Linked DNA regions of Drosophila melanogaster. The protein of the gene in region 3 interacts with the protein of the main gene of each other region in a biochemical or structural test. Each region holds a gene or a part of one and is shown on either strand. Other genes may lie near its edges. The genes, in order: Orc2, Orc3, Cdc6 and Orc5.

Region 1 (4,521 bases), on a different chromosome or scaffold from region 3:
TGAACTCCAGTGTTCGTGGGCAATTGAACACGGAAAGCGAACGCCTTGCTTTCGGCCATCTTGGGCACAATGGTGTAGATATCCCGAAACGGTGTAGCTACTATCTGACCGTGGTCAATCATACGGACATTGGCTTCTTGCTTCTTTTGGCAAACCGTCAAAACATGACCGCGATGGACCTTGTCGCCCACACTGATGGCCACGAGGGTGTCCTCCCGCACTCCTTCCATACGAATCATCTTCTTATTCTGCATGCAGCGCTGCATGTTGACCGTCATTCGCTCAATGGCCTCCACATTCGCCACGTGCACCACCCAAATGGGTCCATCGTTCTCCATGAAAGTCACGCGGCACTTGAAAAACTCCATGCCCGACGGCAGCAAATGTTTGCGCCAGTTTTCCGATAGATCCGGCTTGTTCGGCACAGCAACTGTGGGCTCCACACATGGGATTGGCGATTTAGTGCGAGTTTTAGCCAGAGCAACTTGGTTCTCTACGCTCTGGATTGGATTCAACGCCGGTTGAAGAGGCCGGCACTCCACCAAGGGTCTGGAAACGCATTTGTATTGTATAAGAATTAAAAACCCCTAACTTAATGCACTGCTGCGCAACGGATTTACTAATTTAACTCACGGCATAATGATGCACACCTGCCTGTGCCTCTGCCAATCCAATTTCTGGCACTTTTCATTGCAGTACGGTTCTCCACACCGCTGGCACATCAATCTGGTCGGAGTGCCACAGACGACGCATGTCTTTTCCTCCGACTTTTCCATTTCTTCAATTCAAAGTAACAACGCAAGAACGTGTGAATGAAAGAACGGCGCGTTAAAGGAAACGCAGCAAAATGGCGCTAACAGAACTTTTAGCACGCGATGAAATACAAAGTGAAAATCTATTTACGCTGGACGAGAACTTTCTATGTTTTCGTTTTGAAAAAGGTGGAATCCTTTAGAATTTAAGTGCGCGATTCACAACTCACAAACATGCGATACGTTCACTAAACGCGTTTAAATTCGAAGCTCGCTGGGCACGCGCTTCAGTGCATTGAACGAACGTGGGAAGAAAGAGAACAGGACGATATCGATATCGGTTGGTTTTCGATTTACAGCGCACTGATGGAAGTAAACTTGATCGTTAATTAAAAAAGGAAAAATAAGGCTTACGAAGTTTTTAAACTTTAATTAAAACGACACAACATATGCTAAATATTCTACATATTCCAGTTACAATCAATTTCGCCAAGCCATTTTCATGGAAGTTGAATACTCTTTGAACCTGTTTGAATATATCTGAAAACGCAAATCTACTTTGTGTTATTATTTTGCCAATATAGGCAATATTATTTGAAAATTAACCGCAAGTCCATTGACGACCGCAATTCAGAATAAGAACGTAGCGTAATTTTCCCATCTTCAAATATTGTTTTTCCTAAACTTACCGATTTTAACACTTTTTAGTTTTAAAAACGTTTGTGGTTAATCCGCAAGGAATTTGTGACAGTGAAAAAATAACCGCTTTGTACGCGCACGTGTTGCCAACAAACACTTCAGCTTTTGTCAGTGACTGGATTCTAATTTAAATTTATCGATAACGTATGCAATTCTTATTCGAACAATATAGTTATTTCTAAAAACTGTGTCACGGAATTTCTTTTTGTAATTATTACCTATATAAATATATATTTATACAAATATTTATAACATTTGTGTTTTAATTGTCATGCCCCTTTAGTTTTTTTTACGCTAGAAACTTAGCTACTTCCTAGGTCGAGAGCTGGCCACACTCTTGGCATGTCTTAGTTATCGATAATTCCCGCCACTTCTGAGCATTGAGTATATTTTGCGAACTATTTGTTTACCAATTGAATATTTTGATAATCAGGGCCCCCAGTGAAGTGGCAAGCGTCATGAGTGCCAGCAACAAAGGCGGTTACAAGACGCCGCGGAAGGAGAACCTCATGTCCATTGAGAACCTCACCAATTCGGAGGAGGAATCCGAGGACTTGAACACGGCAATGGTTGGGAATGCAGTGGAATCTCAGCCCAAGGTCACCAGTCGGCGTTCCACCCGACGTCCAAGTCCCACCAAGAAATACCAGGCGTACCAGAAGGAAAGCAATGGAAAAGGCCAGGAAGAGCGAATTGTTGTGAACTATGTGGAAATGTCCGATGAACGGAGCAGCGATGCGGAGGATCAGGAAGAAGAAGAAAGCATCGAGGAGTCGGAAAATGCTGCCCGTCCCGCTGCCAAGGATCTGCATCTCATCCAATCCGAGTACAATGTGGCCGGCACCAGCATGTTTGGCTTCAATACGCCCAAGAAACGCGATGCCATGGCACTGGCCGCCCTAAATGCCACGCCCTGCACGCCCAAGACCCCAAAAACGCCGCGTTTGGGTGTCAAGACGCCGGATACGAAGCGCAAGAAGTCCATGGATCAGCCAAAGACTCCCGCCCATGTGCGCACCCGCGTCAAGAAGCGTGGGTAGCCTTTTTCTGCGTCCTTTTACCATTTTTTCCATTATTTATAAATTCATTATCACTTTCAGAGATTGCCAAAATAGTGGCCGACTCAGATGAGGATTTTTCTGGAGATGAAAGCGATTTCCGGCCCAGTGACGAGGAATCCTCCTCCAGCAGCAGTAGCAGCGATGCTGGCAACTCCTCTGACAACGACGCCGCCGATGATGAGCCCAAAACGCCCAGTAGAGCCCGCCGTGCCATTGTAGTCCCCGTTCTGCCGAAAACTCCATCGGCAGCCCGCCTGCGACAATCGGCGAGGGCGAAAAAATCGAATGAGTTTGTGCCCGAGAGCGATGGTTACTTTCACTCGCATGCCAGCAGCAAGATCCTCACTTCGGATCACACCTTGGATCGCCTAAAGAATCCTCGCCTGGCCGCCGATCGTGTTTTCAGTTTGCTGTCGGAAATCAAGACATCGGCGGAGCATGAGGGTTCTATTAATGCCATTATGGAGGAGTATCGATCGTACTTTCCCAAGTGGATGTGTATTCTGAACGAAGGCTTCAATATACTTCTATATGGATTGGGCTCCAAGCACCAGCTGCTGCAGTCATTCCATCGGGAAGTTTTGCATAAGCAAACGGTATTGGTGGTGAATGGCTTCTTTCCCAGTCTGACCATCAAGGATATGCTGGATAGCATCACAAGCGACATATTAGATGCGGGCATTAGTCCGGCTAATCCACATGAAGCAGTGGATATGATCGAGGAGGAGTTCGCACTGATACCGGAAACACATTTGTTCTTAATCGTCCATAATCTGGATGGAGCCATGCTTCGCAATGTGAAGGCACAGGCGATTCTTTCGCGCCTGGCGCGCATACCGAACATTCATCTACTGGCCTCCATTGATCACATAAATACCCCACTGTGTGAGTGCACCGATGCTTTGAGATCTTTATAGTGCGACAGCAAAACTAATTATTGTTTACGAATTTGCAGTGTGGGACCAGGGAAAGCTGTGCAGCTTCAACTTCTCGTGGTGGGACTGCACAACAATGCTGCCATATACGAACGAAACTGCGTTCGAGAACTCGCTGCTGGTGCAGAATTCCGGCGAATTGGCCCTCTCCTCGATGCGCAGTGTCTTCTCATCGCTAACGACCAATTCGCGTGGCATTTACATGCTGATTGTTAAGTATCAATTGAAGAACAAGGGCAATGCCACATACCAGGGCATGCCGTTCAGGGATCTCTATTCGAGTTGTCGCGAAGCATTTTTGGTCAGCTCAGATCTGGCACTGCGTGCCCAGCTCACCGAGTTCCTCGACCACAAGCTGGTCAAATCGAAACGGAGCGTTGATGGCTCCGAACAGCTAACCATTCCCATTGATGGCGCACTGCTGCAGCAGTTTCTCGAGGAGCAGGAGAAGAAATAGGCCATCGGCGTAATTTTAGAACATATTAATTTATTATCTAATATTGTTAAATACAATTACAATTTCGCTTTTTAAAAATGTTGTGTTGCTGTCACTTGTATTGCCCATGATGAGTGCGCAGTGTTTGTTTTCGCTCTTTTTTATTTTTTTGTCAATTTCTACACATTAAGATTGGCATGCATAAAATTTGTCGCTTTGCTCGAAGATACACATTCTAGGATGGCTAGTTTTTTTCCTCAGCTCCAGTTGCGAGCATATAGCAACACAAAACTTCACAAAGCACTGCAAGTGCTCGACGACTGCGGGGATGAGAGCGCATTTGGATACGATTTTAAGGATCAGAAGAGGCGAACTAAACATAGCTAAGCATGCCAAAAATGATAAGACTCACTACCGCCTGACCATTCCGTGCTCCTCATCCATTCCAAAGGCTAATATCGGTTACCTATTCACTATACAGACACGCACATACACAGATTAAAGCGTTGGACTTGTAACTAGTTAATTGTGCACTCGAAACGAAATGTAATTGCTGCGACTAAGGCTAGTTTATTTACACTTTCTTGATAGCAAATCACATGCGAAGTCAATCGGAAGTACACATACAATGGGGAATC
Region 2 (5,940 bases), on a different chromosome or scaffold from region 3:
CCGGGAACTGCTTTCTTGATTCCTGTGATGATCTCGCCGGGAATTATGTTTTGGACTCCGGCTGCGATGTGGATCTGGACGACGAGCCTGTGCAGTAGATTTCCGATCGGTGGTCTTTGAGTGTTCCGGCCTGGGAGACTTGCTTCTTTGGACCGATTTCTTGGCGTCTTCTCTTGTCCTAGATTTCCAAGCATCATCCTTTGAGGATGACTTCTTGTCATCATCTTTATTGGTCGCCATCTTATTATCCTCCTTGGATTTTACGCCTCTTTCAACATCTTTTGATACGACTTTCGTTGTGTCATCTTTTTTGGTCATCATCTTCCTAGCATCATCCTTAGCGGCGTCCTTTGCAGCCGTTTTGAACGGATTTCTATTCGTTTCCGGATATTTCCTGACATCGATTGGTGTAGATTGAAATTCTTTCGGACGCTTACTTTCGGGTTCCCTTGCACCTGGTACGTCAAACGCCCGTGCTCGTTTTCGTCGGAAGCATACATCGTCCTTTCTGTTGAACAATGTGTTGTTTGTTAAGAAGCAGGGAGTCAATATGCTAACTTACTCGTTTCGCAGCTCGGCAATCAGTGTCTCTTTTCTCTTTACCTCCGCCTTAGCTGTGTCCAGTAGATTCTGTAGATTAACCTCCATGGTTTTTATCTTCTTGCCAAGTGCCTTATTCTCAACCTTTAGCGCTTCAATTTCGGCCAGTGCCTTTTCGTATTTGGCTTCCCATGCCTGTAGCTCCTTGGTATTCTGTGAGATGGTAAATGGGTAACTCTGCTGAAAGGACGTATTCCTGCACAACTTACACGATCTTCGGCCTTCTGAAAGTCGTCCAAATCATCGTAGATGTCCAGTTCAAGGGATCTGTCCATTTGGTCAGGCTTCTTTGAACCTGCAGGCTCTATATCGTACAAATCGTGATAGATATCCAAATCCATGGATTTATCCTTAACGTTGGACTTCATCCCGCCCGCGTCCTGGTCTTCCAAATCCATCAAGTCCTCCAGAGCTTCGGGCAGCACCAGTTCTCCGCCAGATTTCGTGGCATATGCAGGCGTTTCCATACCAATCGCTTACGTTTCTTCTTGGCTGCCCTTTAAACAAGGATACATAAAATGAATTGTTAGAGTTACTGTTTTTTAATGGAGCTACTTTATTGATTACCTGTTCAGTCATAAATTGATCAAAATTCGAAACACAAAAGAATTTCAATGTTCTTGATTTTTGTTTCAGGGAATAAAAGTTCCACTAAAGCTCAATGGTCACTGTCCTGAGCATTTCCTCCAAACTGGCGTGCAATTTGTTTCCCTGCCGTGTATTTGTATAAATGTAATTATTATTATTATTCTATTTAATATTGTTAGAAAATCCCGTGTTGCCGCCAATCGATAACAGAAGATGCAGTTGATTATCGGAAGCAACAGCTGACCGGCTGAAAATGTGGCAACCCTGATAGTGGATATCGATATCCAGCAGCAACATTTGGCGCCAAAACGAATATTTTAAAAATTTTATTATGCACTTACGTGTTTTCCCAAGAATATAATTTTAAAATCAATCTAGTTCCCATTTCGTATTACTGTACACTTAAATTCGTTAAAAAAAAACATCACAATACAAACAATAATACTCGAGAAACACTACACAATGGCAGACATTCCGGAAAAAAGTTCTTACTACAAGAAGGAAAGAAGAAAGTTCGCTCTGATCACTTACCTACTAACCGCGATATTCCTGATCCTTGCGCTGTTGCAATGGGCCACTTTCCGCTTTGTGTACGTATGTATTTTCACATTACTTCATCCTCACTGCACTTTTTCTTAATTTTCAGAAATTTTCTAAGGGAATTTTTTACTTCGTACCATTGGTTGAGCTGCCTTTTTTTTGGAATAGGCCTGATACTCCTCGTACTTTTCATATTTTTCGAGGTACTGCGCTTTAATAAAATGGTAAACTGGTTGTTTGCCTTTCTAATTGTAAGTCTACAATGTGAAACATAACCTGGGTGGCAGTATGAACTTATTCTTTCCAGTTTGAATGCATTGTACTGGGGATTGCACCGCTGGTTGCCCGCCACTACAAGTATCAGTTTCTCTTCAGCTTCCTTATATGGACCGTAGCATTGGCGCTTTTTATTGTCTGTGGTTCCTTTCTTCCGGTAAGAAGAGTCCACATGAAAGCCATTTGATTCAAATCTGAAGCTTCACATTTTTATTGTTATCCCCTTAAGCTGGATCTTACTTTGGATGTTGTGGTGCTATTTGTGCTTGCAGTGGTTTCCATTATCGGCGCCATATACTTCGTGATGCTCTACATCGTGGCTAATGTCGCATACTCGTTTATAATCGCCCGTTGCTTTATAGTGATCAGCATCTTGATGGTTAGTACTGAGTCATACATTTTTGAATTAGTTTCTGTCATTTAGTTTCCTCCTTACAGTTTGTCATGTATCACGCGCAGATTATAAACGGTGGAAGGTTCGCCGAGATGCGCACGAAGGACTACTTCCTGGCAGCCATCATACTGTTCCTCGATTTCCTGCTCCTCTATCTTTTCTCATTCCAAGTGGCCCCAAAATGGTCGGATCGTTGCGATGGCGAACGTTCAAAAAACTTGGTGCTGTTCACAGAAACTACGACGAATTCGTATCCACCAAAATGGTGGCGTACGAGCACGAAGGGTATGATTTCTTATTATTAGTTCATGTTAGATGAAATATTCAATTAATTTATACTTTTCACACTTGTTTTCAAAGATACCCCCTAAAGTCGTTAGCCAACACTGCCGCCCGTTTGGCGCCAAACACAACAGCCAGCTGATTTCATTTCGCGTTCCTACCGGTGAAGAAACTTTAATTGGCACAGAGCTGACCTAAACAAATAAATAAATAAACGCAACCCGGCGACTTAAAGACTCCACGACATCGGGCCGCAGTGCAAAGCCAGCGATGGATCCCACCATTTCAGTGTCCAAGGTGAGTGGCTTCGGCTTCCAAACTGGACATAGATGTTTAACTACTTATTTTTGTTGTCTGCAGGGCTGTTTTGTCTACAAAAATGGCGCTACGAGAGCAGGGAAAAAGGCGGCCAGCAAACGGAAGCGTCCTGCCGCAGAATCCAGTAGTCTTCTTGGCAAAGAGGTAGTGCAGCAGCCCTTCTATGAGGAATATCGCAAGGCCTGGAATCAGATAAACGATCACATTGCCGACCTGCAGCACCGCAGCTATGCCCGCACTCTGGAGCAACTGGTGGACTTTGTGGTGGGGCAGGCAGAGCGCGACACCCCGGACGAGGTGCTGCCCACCGCCGCCTTGCTAACGGGCATTAATCAGCCGGATCATCTCAGCCAGTTCACGGCACTTACCCAGCGACTCCATGCCCAACGTGCTGCAATGGTATGTGTGCTGCAGTCCAGGGATTGCGCCACTCTCAAGGCGGCCGTTGAGACATTGGTTTTCGGGCTCGTAGAAGATAATGCAGAAGTGGAGCAAATGGAAGACGAGGACGAGGACGAGGATGGTGCCGAACGGGATCGCAAGCGGCTACGTCGCTCGCAGTGCACCATGAAGCAGTTGAAGTCTTGGTACACGAACAATTTTGACTCGGAACAGAAGCGCCGCCAGCTGGTCGTCATCCTTCCCGACTTTGAGTGCTTTAACGCAAGCGTGCTGCAGGATCTTATTCTAATTTTGAGCGCTCACTGCGGCTCGCTTCCATTCGTCCTGGTCCTGGGAGTGGCCACGGCCATGACAGCTGTCCATGGGACACTACCATACCACGTCAGCAGCAAGATTCGTCTAAGGGTGTTCCAGACTCAAGCTGCTCCCACGGGCCTTAATGAGGTAATATTCCTTAACTCTGTGCTAGTTTATGTACTAATCGGTTTTCTAACAACCTTTAGGTGCTGGATAAAGTTCTGCTGTCGCCCAAGTACGCTTTCCACCTGTCGGGAAAGACATTCAAGTTCCTGACGCACATCTTCCTATACTACGACTTCTCCATCCACGGCTTTATTCAGGGCTTCAAGTACTGCCTGATGGAACACTTCTTTGGTGGGAATGCCTTTGCTCTTTGCACAGACTACAGCAAAGCATTGGGACGCATAAAGCAGCTGACCCACGAGGATATGGAAACCATCAGAAGGCTCCCATCGTTTCGTCCGTACGTCGAGCAGATCAATGATTGCAAACGCATCATAGCCGTGCTCACGGACGATGACTACCTAAAGAAGAAACTGCCGCAGTTGCTGCGCGACTGCCTGCTCCACTTCCTGCTTTTCCGCTGCTCTCTGGAGTTCCTTACAGAGCTGGTTGGTGATTTGCCGCGCTGTCCGCTGGGAAAGCTACGCCGGGAACTGTACGTCAACTGTCTTAATCGTGCGATCATTTCGACGCCGGAGTACAAGGAGTGCCTGCAGATGCTAAGCTTTCTGTCCAAGGACGAATTTGTTGCTAAAGTGAATCGAGCCCTGGAAAGAACCGAACAGTTCCTGGTTGAAGAAATTGCTCCGCTGGAATTGGGCGAGGCCTGCACTGCTGTGCTGAGACCTAAGTTAGAAGCTATACGCCTTGCAGTGGACGAAGTGGTCAAGGCCACCATGGCGACAATTACAACGACATCGCCCAATGAAACCCGCCAGGCGACTGACCATTTGACTCCGGTGGCCTCGCGTCAAGAATTGAAAGATCAGCTCCTACAGCGTAGCAAGGAGGACAAGATGCGGCATCAGCTGAACACGCCCACCACCCAATTCGGACGAGCTCTACAAAAGACTCTGCAGCTTATCGAAACGCAGATTGTACAGGATCATCTCCGTGCGCTGCAGGATGCACCACCTATTCACGAACTTTTTGTGTTCAGCGACATTGCTACCGTGCGGCGAAACATAATTGGTGCTCCGCGGGCTGCACTGCACACTGCCCTGAATAATCCACATTTTTACATGCAGTGCAAGTGCTGCGAGCTACAAGATCAATCACTGCTGGTTGGCACACTGCCCGATCTCTCCGTGGTTTACAAGCTGCACCTGGAGTGCGGTCGCATGATCAACCTTTTCGACTGGCTGCAGGCCTTTCGATCTGTTGTGAGCGACAGCGACCACGAGGAAGTGGCCCAGGAACAAATCGATCCCCAGATCCAGTGAGTAAAAAAATGGATTTCTCTCTGTAATATCATCAATTTCATTTGGTTTTCCTTTCAACCAGGGCCCGATTCACGCGTGCCGTAGCCGAGTTGCAGTTTCTGGGGTACATTAAGATGTCGAAGCGCAAGACGGATCATGCCACTCGATTAACCTGGTAGCTCGCTCGGGCTATGAATAACCAAAATCCCTTAGGTATTTTTATCTTTTCTATTTATTTATATTGGGGCAAATTTCATGTGTGGGACGTTATGAATAAATAAAACATCAATCGATTTGTCTACTCTGTACGAAATGCATTAACTTTGTTTGCGAGTGAAGCGCGTTCTTGTATTTTTTAAGTAAAGCCCAGCAGCTGGCAAGGCAAGCGTACTAAATATCAATTACCAGTCTTCCCGACTAGCGGTTACCACGTTCCCTGTTCACATTAGTTTCAGAGTCTCGATGGCGGCAGCGATGCGTTCGATCTCTGCCCGCGACTCGCAGAGTTTTGTCTCGTTGGCCTCCTGCACCTCGGCGGGAACCTTAGTTGCGTAGTCGGCGGCCTGGATGGCCTGAGTTAGCTTGCCCACCGTCTGCACCAGCTGGTCGCTCTTCTTCTGCAGCTTGGCTATCTCCTTGTCCGCCTCCACGAGTCCCTTGAGCAGCAGGTGCACCTCGCACTGGCCCGTCACGGTGAGGATCGCACAGCCCTGCGGTGCGGGACTGTCAAAGACCACATTGGAGCAGTAGGAGATTGTGGCCAGATCGCTGGCGTAGCGTTTGAGTATTTCACTGGGCACCGAATCCGTGCATACT
Region 3 (4,959 bases):
TGTATGTTTTTCGAGGTTTTTCGCCTTACTGCTCCCTCAGAAATATATGTATTTTTGAGGAATAGGAATATAGAACGCCATATACCTATAGATACATTCATGCATATATCTAGCTGGCCTCTCTGCATATAGCTTATTATTCAAACATTTGTTCGCCTTTCGTCAATACGCGTCGAAAGGCAACCAGAGTTTTTGAAACATATTTTTCATTGCGCTCTGGTTGTGTCGGTGGTGCTCAATGTAATTCATACCACTCAAATGGGGATATTTTTAGAGCAGAGAGCGCAGGAAGAACAACAATAAGCCAGCAAATAAATAAACAAAATGATTATAGAACAAATTAATTTCATGTCGAGATGGCCAACAAAAGCCCACACAAATTCAGAAGCACTGGTGTTAATTTGACTGGTATGTTCTGAAAACGCCTCAGAAAACAATGGCAACAGACTTTCCCTAAGATTTTCACAACTTTTGGCACGACCCAAGATTCAAACTTGCGGCGCAGCGAAAGTGGAAAACGTTTTCACTTTTGCGTTTTATGTATTGCGGAACTATCTAGTTTATTCTTATTTGCTTAGGGCTAACAGGAAGGGGATTCTCTATAACTTATTGGTCAACGGATCGGATTAGAAATAGATTATGGGCGCAACATTTACTTAGATTTATGACACACACAAAGTCTAAAAGAATCGATTCAATTAATAGTCAGAAAATAGCAGAAAATGTCGAAAGTGACCGTCAAATGATATTTCAAAATATTTCAGTGCTTGCGCCAGCCACGAATTTTAAAATTAGCGTCAAAAAGTATTCCTATACATATACGTTCGTCCCCAAGGTGAATGAAAATGAGAAAAATGCGCAATTAACCAGCGGTTTGTCGGGCACACTCATTTCCTAGAGGTAATCGTCCAGATCGTCACTTGCTCAGGCAGGCGGTATCGCTGAGGATCGAGGCGATCAGCTGCTTGTCGCTCAGTGCCGCATGCACCTCCTCCTCGTCCCACTGCAGCAGAACCTTGTGCAGGCGCGGCTCCTTTTTGCGCATGATTCGCAGAATGCCTCGGGTCTCGACCAGATCCACAGTCCCAGTGAACTCCGCTTGGTCCAGGGCCAGGATGTTGCGTTTGGCGCACACTCTCCTGTAGACCTCGTGCAGGCGACCCATACTGATGTCTTTGTTGCGCTCGTTGCGCAGCATCAGCACCAGGGTGCACAGCATTAGCTTTTGCTGCAGCGGAAATGATGCCTCGATGTCCTCCTCCAGATTCTGTGAGGCACCGTAGACCTTGTTCAGCACTGCAGCCACTTGGGTGACCTGAACAGGCTTTAGAGTGTCTGAAATAGTCAAGATAGGATTTCTTTTTAACACATTCTATAAATTTATCTTTATATACTAAAGAAACGAAGGTTTACCTTGCTTTTCCTTGGCCTCCACCGCATCCTTGCCCTCCAGCTGCAGGGCCTTCATATTGAACTCCTTTTCGCCATCGCGCTTCTGCTGCTCTGCTATCTCGACCACTCGTCGTCCAATGTCCAGGGCCCTTCGCACATCTCCACTGATCGCACTCACCTTGGCGGCCAGCAGCTGCAGGGTCACGGGTGGAAAGACGTCCAGCACTTCCGCCTCAGCCAGACGCGACTTGAATATCTCCACGATCTGCTGCTTGGAGTAGGGCGGGAAGTGCATCAGTCTGGGCTTCAGCTCGCACCTTGCATTCAGTCGCATCAGCGCACGATCTGTGAGATCCAAACTATTGGCAATGCCCACGAGCAGTATCCTGGAGCCGGGAAGAGCTGGCCACTCGAAGATCGTGTACAACACCTCCTGCCTGCTGGTGCAGAGCTGATCAATCTCGTCCAGCACCAGCAGAAGCATTCGCTTTGCTGTCTTTAGGTGACGCTGAATGGCCTCCAAGTGATCTCTCTCTGTGCGACCGCTGACTTTGAGCTGCAGTTCGGTGCATAGTTTCTTGTAAACTGCTCCTACACTTGCTATGCTGGTGCAGTTAATGTACACACGTTGCAGACGCTTGGAGAAGTCGGGATCTCTCAGCAGTAGCGATAGGCAGGCGGTCTTGCCTGTTCCTGGCTGACCGGAGACATAGAGGCTGCCGGAAGTCTGGCTTTCCAGGTGATTGCTGAAGAATTCACGTAGCTCTTGGAGCTGGGACTCACGTCCTGGCAAGTTTTGTGTCTCGGCGCTGTTGAGCACTCGTCTGGCGTTTTGGTATTTGTTGCGTGAGGGAGATGGCAGGTTATTCTGTTGGGTTTCCTCATTGGTTTGGATATTGCTTTTTTCTTTAGTTTGGTTTTTATTCGGCTGCTTTGTTGGAGGTTTCTCCTGCTGCTTTTGCGCTAATGGATCCTCCTGCTGTTTTGGCCGAGGCTTTGCCTCGTCCTTGGCTTGATGTTTCGGCTGCTGCTCAGCCGTTTCAGTCTTGTGTGTGGTCGCCTCCACCTCTTCCTCCTGGCGCTCGTCGATGCTGAGTCTGTCCAGCAGCCGCGAAGGACTGATCAGGTGCTGTGGCAGTGGCTGCAACTTCCTCTGCTTCGGCGGCGATCCATGAAGCGGGTCCACCTCCGAATCCTGTTCGCCCTCCAAGAATCTAGCGGTGGCCTCACGGTTTTCCTCCTCACGTTTGGCCCGTGAACTGCCAGCTGATTGGACTGTTTTCTTTGTGCTGCGTGGCGTCTTTGGCAGCTCCGATTGAGCCACCTGCACTTGCGATGTCCTGCGCCTGGAGATCTTGTCCATTTTGTTGAGCACGTTGCGGTTCTCGTTGTTCTCTGAAACGGGGCTGGTCAGGTCATAGATCGCCGTCACCACCTCCTCCTCCTCGTCGCTATCGGCAAGCACTTTTTTCGGCTGCCTGCGTTTCCAAACTTCCGAGCGACGCGGCGTCTGCGTCGACGGCGGCAGCGGAGAGGCGGCGGTCGCTTTGCTGATGCTACTAAGGCGCGTGGAGCGGCGTACGGCAGCCATTCTTTAGCTTAGTTTATTGATCAGCAGTTAGTTACTATTAAATACGAGTTAAATAAGCCACAGCGTGCGTTACAATTTTCAGCTGGCAGTCACAGTTAAAAAAGCGCGCAAATTGAGTTTGCCATTCGCCACGAGCAACAGCTGATCAAGCCTGGTCTGGTCATCTGGCAGCTCTAGCCCAGAGCTGCCTATTGTCGATCGCCTATCGATTAGGCGCGCATAGTTACAACATTTCAAACAGCAGTCCGCCTATATTGAATTACTTACATACTCGCGTGTGGACGGCCTGGTAAAAATAAAATGGTCCGCGGCAGATAGAAAACACAAATCGCTGGACGTTGAACACGCTTACGTAAGCGCCTAAAAATATTTCCCCTGGCTATGGGATATTTTTAAAGTATATAAACGGGCGCACATAAAATGGAATTTAGATATAGCGAAAAAAATTATGCACACACACGCTCGAAGGAGAAATACGTAGCACAGTGGGCAAAGATCTGGTGATTTCTAGAAACTCTTTTAATCTCTGTCTGATTTATTTATATTATCATTTGCCGCAACGGCTGGTCGGCCAAATGTGTGCCCCATTTCGGCGTAAACAAAGTCGTTAATCTTCACCGATCCGCTTTCCAGCCCTACCGTACAACTCCGCTGGTCCTGCCCGGCGCCAAAGTGAAGAAGGATGCGCCCACGACAGAGTCCTACTTGAGGCACTACCCCAACCCGGCTGTGCGCGCCCACCCAGGACACGACTACCATGACAGTATCATGAAGCAGCGCGTGGCCGACACCATGCTGCACAAGGTGGTCGGTTCGGAAGCCGACACTGGCCGCGTAAGTACAGGGGACTTCTTAAAGTCACACCCACATAATGGAAAATTACAAAAACTAGAGTTTTCTACATTTAAAATTGATATTTTCAATGTTAACATTTCGAATTCGTGACCTGTAGTCTTTGTTCTAATCCTGTTACGAAATTGATTGTATTTAATTTAAGTGTAAGTTGTAATGGGTTTTACTTACATTTGTGTACATATATCCCCCGATTTTAGGTCTTCCACAAGCAATTCAACTCGCCCATTGGCCTGTACTCCAACAACAACATCGAGGACACCATCAGATCCACAGTTCCGTAAGTTGTCACCCAGAAATGTACCATCTGGAAACTCCTATGCTTAGCTCGATACAATGAAAAAAAAAAAACACTAATATATGAACTTTTGGAATTCGCTTGTCAAATTGAACTTATAAGCCTATGAATTACGCTACATATTCTTTGGATTTTGCAATTTACGAATAAACCTGCGTAGAGTTCTTCGAAATTTTTGATGCAGCTTTTCTTTTTGCCAGAGAGACAGAGAGAGCCACTCGAAATGCGCCAAGTAGCTTGAAAACTAATAAAACGAGTCACGAACACACGGTTACGAGTAGCCTAAGGTCCACATAACCCGAAAAATTGGTTCCTGGTTAAGCTGCGGCCATAATCCACTAACCCAAAAGCCACAAAATCAAAGTCGAAACGAAATTTACTAAACCGATGCACACACGAAATGAGAAACACACACAATTCGAACATACGATTGAACACGAAAACCAGTCCATAGATGTTGTACGTACTACTTACTACTGCCTACTGCCGGATCTCTGTTTTACATGCATTTATATACATTTACATATATAAATATACCACTCTCTATATATCCTATATATATTCTATGTATATTGTTGTAGCTTCGCCACAAGCGAAAGCAATCGCTTGAAGGACAGTCCTTTGCATCGTCCTTTGCCAACAAAACTTAACGGGTAAAAGTAAATTCATATCTTGAGCACAGCCTGATTTCGTTCTTTGATTGAATCCTTTCACTTTCACTTTCACTTTGATATGGAAAGCACAATGAGCAAGAACGTGGAATTGTACCTGAACTTGCCTTGAGACAAATTAAATTGAATATGAGGAATGTTTGCCAAGTTTCCCG
Region 4 (4,130 bases), on a different chromosome or scaffold from region 3:
GGAGAAGTGACCGTGGAGCAACTGAGCCTGGTGAGAATAGTGGACGACAAAGACTTCCGGCTGCCCGATGCGCGAACGGGTGAAATTGTGCAACCGACTGTCATAAGGTCTGTGATAGAGCTGGAAACTACCACCTGCGGTAAGTGGTCATCATAACTATCTTTGAAAATCTTTCTATATTATTATCCTTTAGCTCTGCTTCTGGATGGCTGTGATCATGGCCGGGACTCGCAATCCCTGCTCTTACACCGCGTTCTGGCGCCATATCAATGTGGAATTGCCTGTGTGGAAAGTGATTCCGAGCTATCTGCTGACTTGTCTGATCTTTGTCAGCATCTGAAACATGTTCTCAACCACGCCGGTCTTAGACTTTCTGAAGGGGATGGAATTCGTACGACGAAGAACGCTTCTCATTTAGCAGAGCACTTGCTGGAAACGGATATGCTCGGCATACCTTATACACTTGTTATAAACGAGCAAACGCTAAGAAACGGACTGATGCAGTTGCGCAGCCGGGACACAAGGCTGGCGGAGACCATACACATAAGCGATGTACCGGACTATTTATTAAATATATTTAAAAACTAAAAAAAACAACCAGGGGCTACATAAAGTCGCAGAGATATTGGCGGACATTAAAGCCCACCACCTTGCCAATCTGCAGGACAAACTCCAAGCCAATGGTGCACTGCAGCCTAGCGGAACCTTCCATTATGTTTTGTTCGCCGGAGACGAAGCTTAGTAGATTGAGGTGCACCAAAGTTGAGATCTGGGAGAGAAGGTTGCAGGTCAGACCGACTTTCTCCTCTAGAATGGCGTAGAAAATGGCCAGCAAACGATCGATGCTAAAGGATTTGGGTCCCAAAGTGGTGGACATTTTCTCCGTGGTCTAAAAGGTATTAAAATAAGCAAATGGAGTCATCGAAAAATTGAATAACCCACCTTGGCTCTGGCGTTGACCGTCTGCATCCGCTTTCGCTGTTTTCCATGGTGCTTGACGAACAATCGCTTGTCCTGCTTGGCGGCATTGTGGCTGGCTAAGAAGGCAGCGATCAACAGAAATTTGGCATAGTAGGGCAGCTCCAGCGACTGCGCCAGCTTGCGAACGCTCTGATCTTCTATGGCGGTGAAATCTTCAACTTCTTCCGCGGGTTTTTCAATTCGCATATAAATCTGGGTTAAGGCGGAACGCAGTGGTCCAGCTATATGCCGCCAAAGCCGGGAGATGTCCGTGGCATCCACAGTGCCGTCGAGTACAGGCTCCAAGTATGTGGACAGACACTTCCTGGCGGTCAGCTGGAGCTCTGGAACATCGCGACAGGCTTTGTAAAAGACGCTCAGAAAGAGATTCAGATAGTTGTTGTAGAAGTCTTCAGTTACGGCTTCCTGGCAAATCTCCAGACGCTTCTTATCCTGGGCGAACTGTTCCAGCAGTTGATTTCGCACCTGCTGAAAGTCAGATCCCAGGATGCGCTGTGTCTCCGCCTTGTTGTACTGCGCCAAGTGCAGGCAGACGATTTCACTAAGTCCGGTCTTGTTGTAGAACTTCTCAAAGGGCAGCTGGGAGAGCAGAATAACGCACAGATTCAGGTTGGTCAGCTCCTGCAGTCGGAGAAGAACGGGCAACACATTGGCATCCATGTCGCGCAGCCTTTCCGCGTTATCCACGGCTATGAGAAATCCCTGATCCTCCACGCGTGTAGCGGCCTGCCGACGCAGCTGCTCCACAAAGTCCAGCATGTTGTCGACCTTCAGCGCATCACCTTGATCGGGTGCCAGCGAGTCTAACAGGATCTCCAGCATTATCTTGGTGGTGTAGCATTCGATGGCATTTAAATGCGCTGTGCGGACATTTTGCCGTTTTCCACATTCTTTGAGGAAAGCTCTGGTCAGAGCTGTTTTGCCGGTTCCACTGTGTCCGAATAGGTAAATTGCCGAGGGATATGTCTCACTCGAATCTCCTATCAGCTCGCCCAGCGTTTCAATGGCCGCCTCCCGACAGGGAAACAGCGGCTCCAAGGAGGAGCAGATGGCTTCCATAGCTGTCGTCTGCTTTTAAGTTTCCTCAGCTACCCACAGGCGAAGTGGTGTTATTTAAACGGGCTTTCAAAAGGGAAAATACTTCCTCGGTTTATAAAATAACAAAAATAAATTACGAGCCAGCCAGTTATTAAAAATTTGTTTACAAGAAATGGTTTCTGTTTAGTGTGACCATTGAAATGGCGCCAAATTATTCCCTCTGGTATATACCGAACGTGCGTAACAGCACTGGTACCTTAGCATTTTTCAAACAATCGAAAAATATCGATATAACGAAATAACGATAGTATTGAGGGCCATCGATTTTTGTTCCAGCTCTAATTTCGGGTGATTAATTTTGTGCATTACTTTTCCAAAGAGTTTTTTCCACAACGCTCTACTCTTCCGGCCCAGGCAAAGCCAGAATCCATCCCAGCAACGCCAGCTTAATCGTGTTGACGGCCCAGAGTCCGCGATTAAAACGAGAGCGAAGCTAAAATCCAGCGGAAACAACGCCCAATTGCTACACAGCGATATCCAAAATCCGAAAATCCGGCGAACCGAACCGAAGAAACTACGCGTGTGGTTGGATTTGGACGAGCGAACACTGCACATTCCGAGCGCATTTAGCCACCCACGATGGCCGAGACATACACCTTTGGCACCTCGCTGGCCTCCATCACCTGCCACGCATGGAACAAGGATCGAACCCGTAAGTGCGACCCAAATTACTCATCCGGCACAGTGTGACTCACCACCACCCACTCCCAAAAATTCGCAGAGATTGCCTTATCGCCCAACAACCATGAGATCCACATATACAGCCGGGAGGGCAGCGACTGGAAGCTGGCGGACGTGCTCAACCAGCACGATCTGCGCGTCATGGGCATCGACTGGGCCAAGAACACCAATCGGATTGTGAGCTGTGCCGCCGACCGTAATGCCTATGTGTGGACGCAGGGCGACGATGGCAAGTGGAAGCCGGCGTTGGTGCTGCTGCGCATCAATCGGGCGGCAACCTGCGTCAAGTGGTCGCCGGCGGAGAACAAGTTCGCTGTGGGTTCGGGCGCCCGACTCATATCCGTGTGCTATTTCGAGTCGGAGAACGACTGGTGGGTGTCGAAGCACATCAAGAAGCCGATCCGCTCTACGGTCACTTCGCTGGACTGGCATCCGAACAACGTTCTGCTGCTGGCCGGCTCCACGGACTACAAGGTGCGCGTTTTCTCGGCCTTCATCAAGGACATCGAGGAGCCACCGACGCCGACGCCGTGGGGCAATCGCAAGCCCCTTGGCCAGCTAATGGCCGAGTTCCGCAACTCGCAGACCTCGGGTGGCGGCTGGATTAACAGCGTGAGCTTCTCCAGCGACGGTAACAAGGTCTGCTGGGTGGGCCACGACAGCTGCGTGAGCATCGCGGACGCTACCAATGGCAATACGGTCATTCGATGCCGCACCGGCTATCTGCCCTTCCTGTCATGCGAATGGGTCTCGCCCACGTCCGTCGTGGTGGCCGGCTATAGCTGTGTGCCACTGCTCTACAGTCTGACTGCCGATGGAAAGCTGGTGCTGAGCGGCAAGCTCGATAAGTCGCAGAAGAAGGAGTCGAGCGGCATTACCGCCATGAGAATCTTTCAGTCGATGGACCGCAACATGCGCACGGAGAACACGGACACGGTGGTCGATTCCATACATCAGAACGCCATCACCAGCGTGCGACTGTATGCCGGCGACAAGGCGAGCGCCACCAAGGTGTCCACCTCGGGCGTCGACGGGCAGCTGGTCATTTGGAATGTGGAGCAGGGCGGCATCAATGGCGGCATGCGCAACCTGCAGATCTAGTGCGGCCCGGAACGGACCAGCGTTACGTGTTATTGTCTGTTAGCGAGTGTGTTGGCCTGGCCAGGAGCGAAGTATTTGCCAAAATGTTTTCCAAAATCGCTTTTCCCATTGTTCTGTACCGTGCGAAAGCCTTTTTACATAAATTAACCGAAGAGATTGTTCTTTCCCCCCCCCCCCCCCCACCAACTTCCATAATGGTTCCGAAAGTGTGTGTGTGTTTTAAAGTGTTTCACCTTTATAGCAAACTGAATAAAATGTTTTTTATTCGT

Evidence for each region.
Region 1: the proteins of Cdc6 (region 3) and Orc2 form a complex in vitro, tested with the Drosophila melanogaster proteins (one study listed by BioGRID).
Region 2: the proteins of Cdc6 (region 3) and Orc3 form a complex in vitro, tested with the Drosophila melanogaster proteins (one study listed by BioGRID).
Region 4: the proteins of Cdc6 (region 3) and Orc5 form a complex in vitro, tested with the Drosophila melanogaster proteins (one study listed by BioGRID).

The regions. Positions count from the first base shown.
Region 1 is NT_033777.3:13,963,099-13,967,619, forward strand, and holds Orc2 (origin recognition complex subunit 2), read left to right. Parts: upstream 1-1,786; 5' UTR 1,787-1,835; intron 1,836-1,893; 5' UTR 1,894-1,909; coding exon 1,910-2,483; intron 2,484-2,551; coding exon 2,552-3,397; intron 3,398-3,467; coding exon 3,468-3,904; 3' UTR 3,905-3,977; downstream 3,978-4,521. Other genes in the region: Kots (kotsubu), read right to left, coding at 1-549, 634-776. UniProt on the Drosophila melanogaster protein: Component of the origin recognition complex (ORC) that binds origins of replication. DNA-binding is ATP-dependent, however specific DNA sequences that define origins of replication have not been identified so far.
Region 2 is NT_033778.4:13,202,219-13,208,158, reverse strand, and holds Orc3 (origin recognition complex subunit 3), read left to right. Parts: upstream 1-1,611; 5' UTR 1,612-1,650; coding exon of another isoform or gene 1,651-1,778; intron 1,779-1,834; coding exon of another isoform or gene 1,835-1,979; intron 1,980-2,035; coding exon of another isoform or gene 2,036-2,161; intron 2,162-2,233; coding exon of another isoform or gene 2,234-2,383; intron 2,384-2,442; coding exon of another isoform or gene 2,443-2,683; intron 2,684-2,758; coding exon of another isoform or gene 2,759-2,769; 5' UTR 2,770-2,950; coding exon 2,951-2,977; intron 2,978-3,040; coding exon 3,041-3,844; intron 3,845-3,903; coding exon 3,904-5,141; intron 5,142-5,206; coding exon 5,207-5,303; 3' UTR 5,304-5,431; downstream 5,432-5,940. Other genes in the region: FLASH (FLICE-associated huge protein), read right to left, coding at 1-508, 563-753, 810-1,067; CG34315 (uncharacterized protein), read left to right, coding at 1,651-1,778, 1,835-1,979, 2,036-2,161, 2,234-2,383, 2,443-2,683, 2,759-2,769; ValRS (Valyl-tRNA synthetase), read right to left, coding at 5,565-5,940.
Region 3 is NT_037436.4:8,630,967-8,635,925, forward strand, and holds Cdc6 (cell division cycle 6), read right to left. Parts: upstream 3,104-4,959; 5' UTR 2,984-3,103; coding exon 1,414-2,983; intron 1,336-1,413; coding exon 917-1,335; 3' UTR 543-916; downstream 1-542. Other genes in the region: Zasp66 (Z band alternatively spliced PDZ-motif protein 66), read left to right, coding at 3,617-3,817, 4,036-4,115, 4,715-4,786.
Region 4 is NT_033779.5:13,827,947-13,832,076, reverse strand, and holds Orc5 (origin recognition complex subunit 5), read right to left. Parts: upstream 2,241-4,130; 5' UTR 2,041-2,240; coding exon 943-2,040; intron 890-942; coding exon 605-889; 3' UTR 589-604; downstream 1-588. Other genes in the region: PolG2 (DNA polymerase gamma subunit 2), read left to right, coding at 1-139, 194-588; Arpc1 (Actin-related protein 2/3 complex, subunit 1), read left to right, coding at 2,659-2,731, 2,801-3,861. UniProt on the Drosophila melanogaster protein: Component of the origin recognition complex (ORC) that binds origins of replication. DNA-binding is ATP-dependent, however specific DNA sequences that define origins of replication have not been identified so far.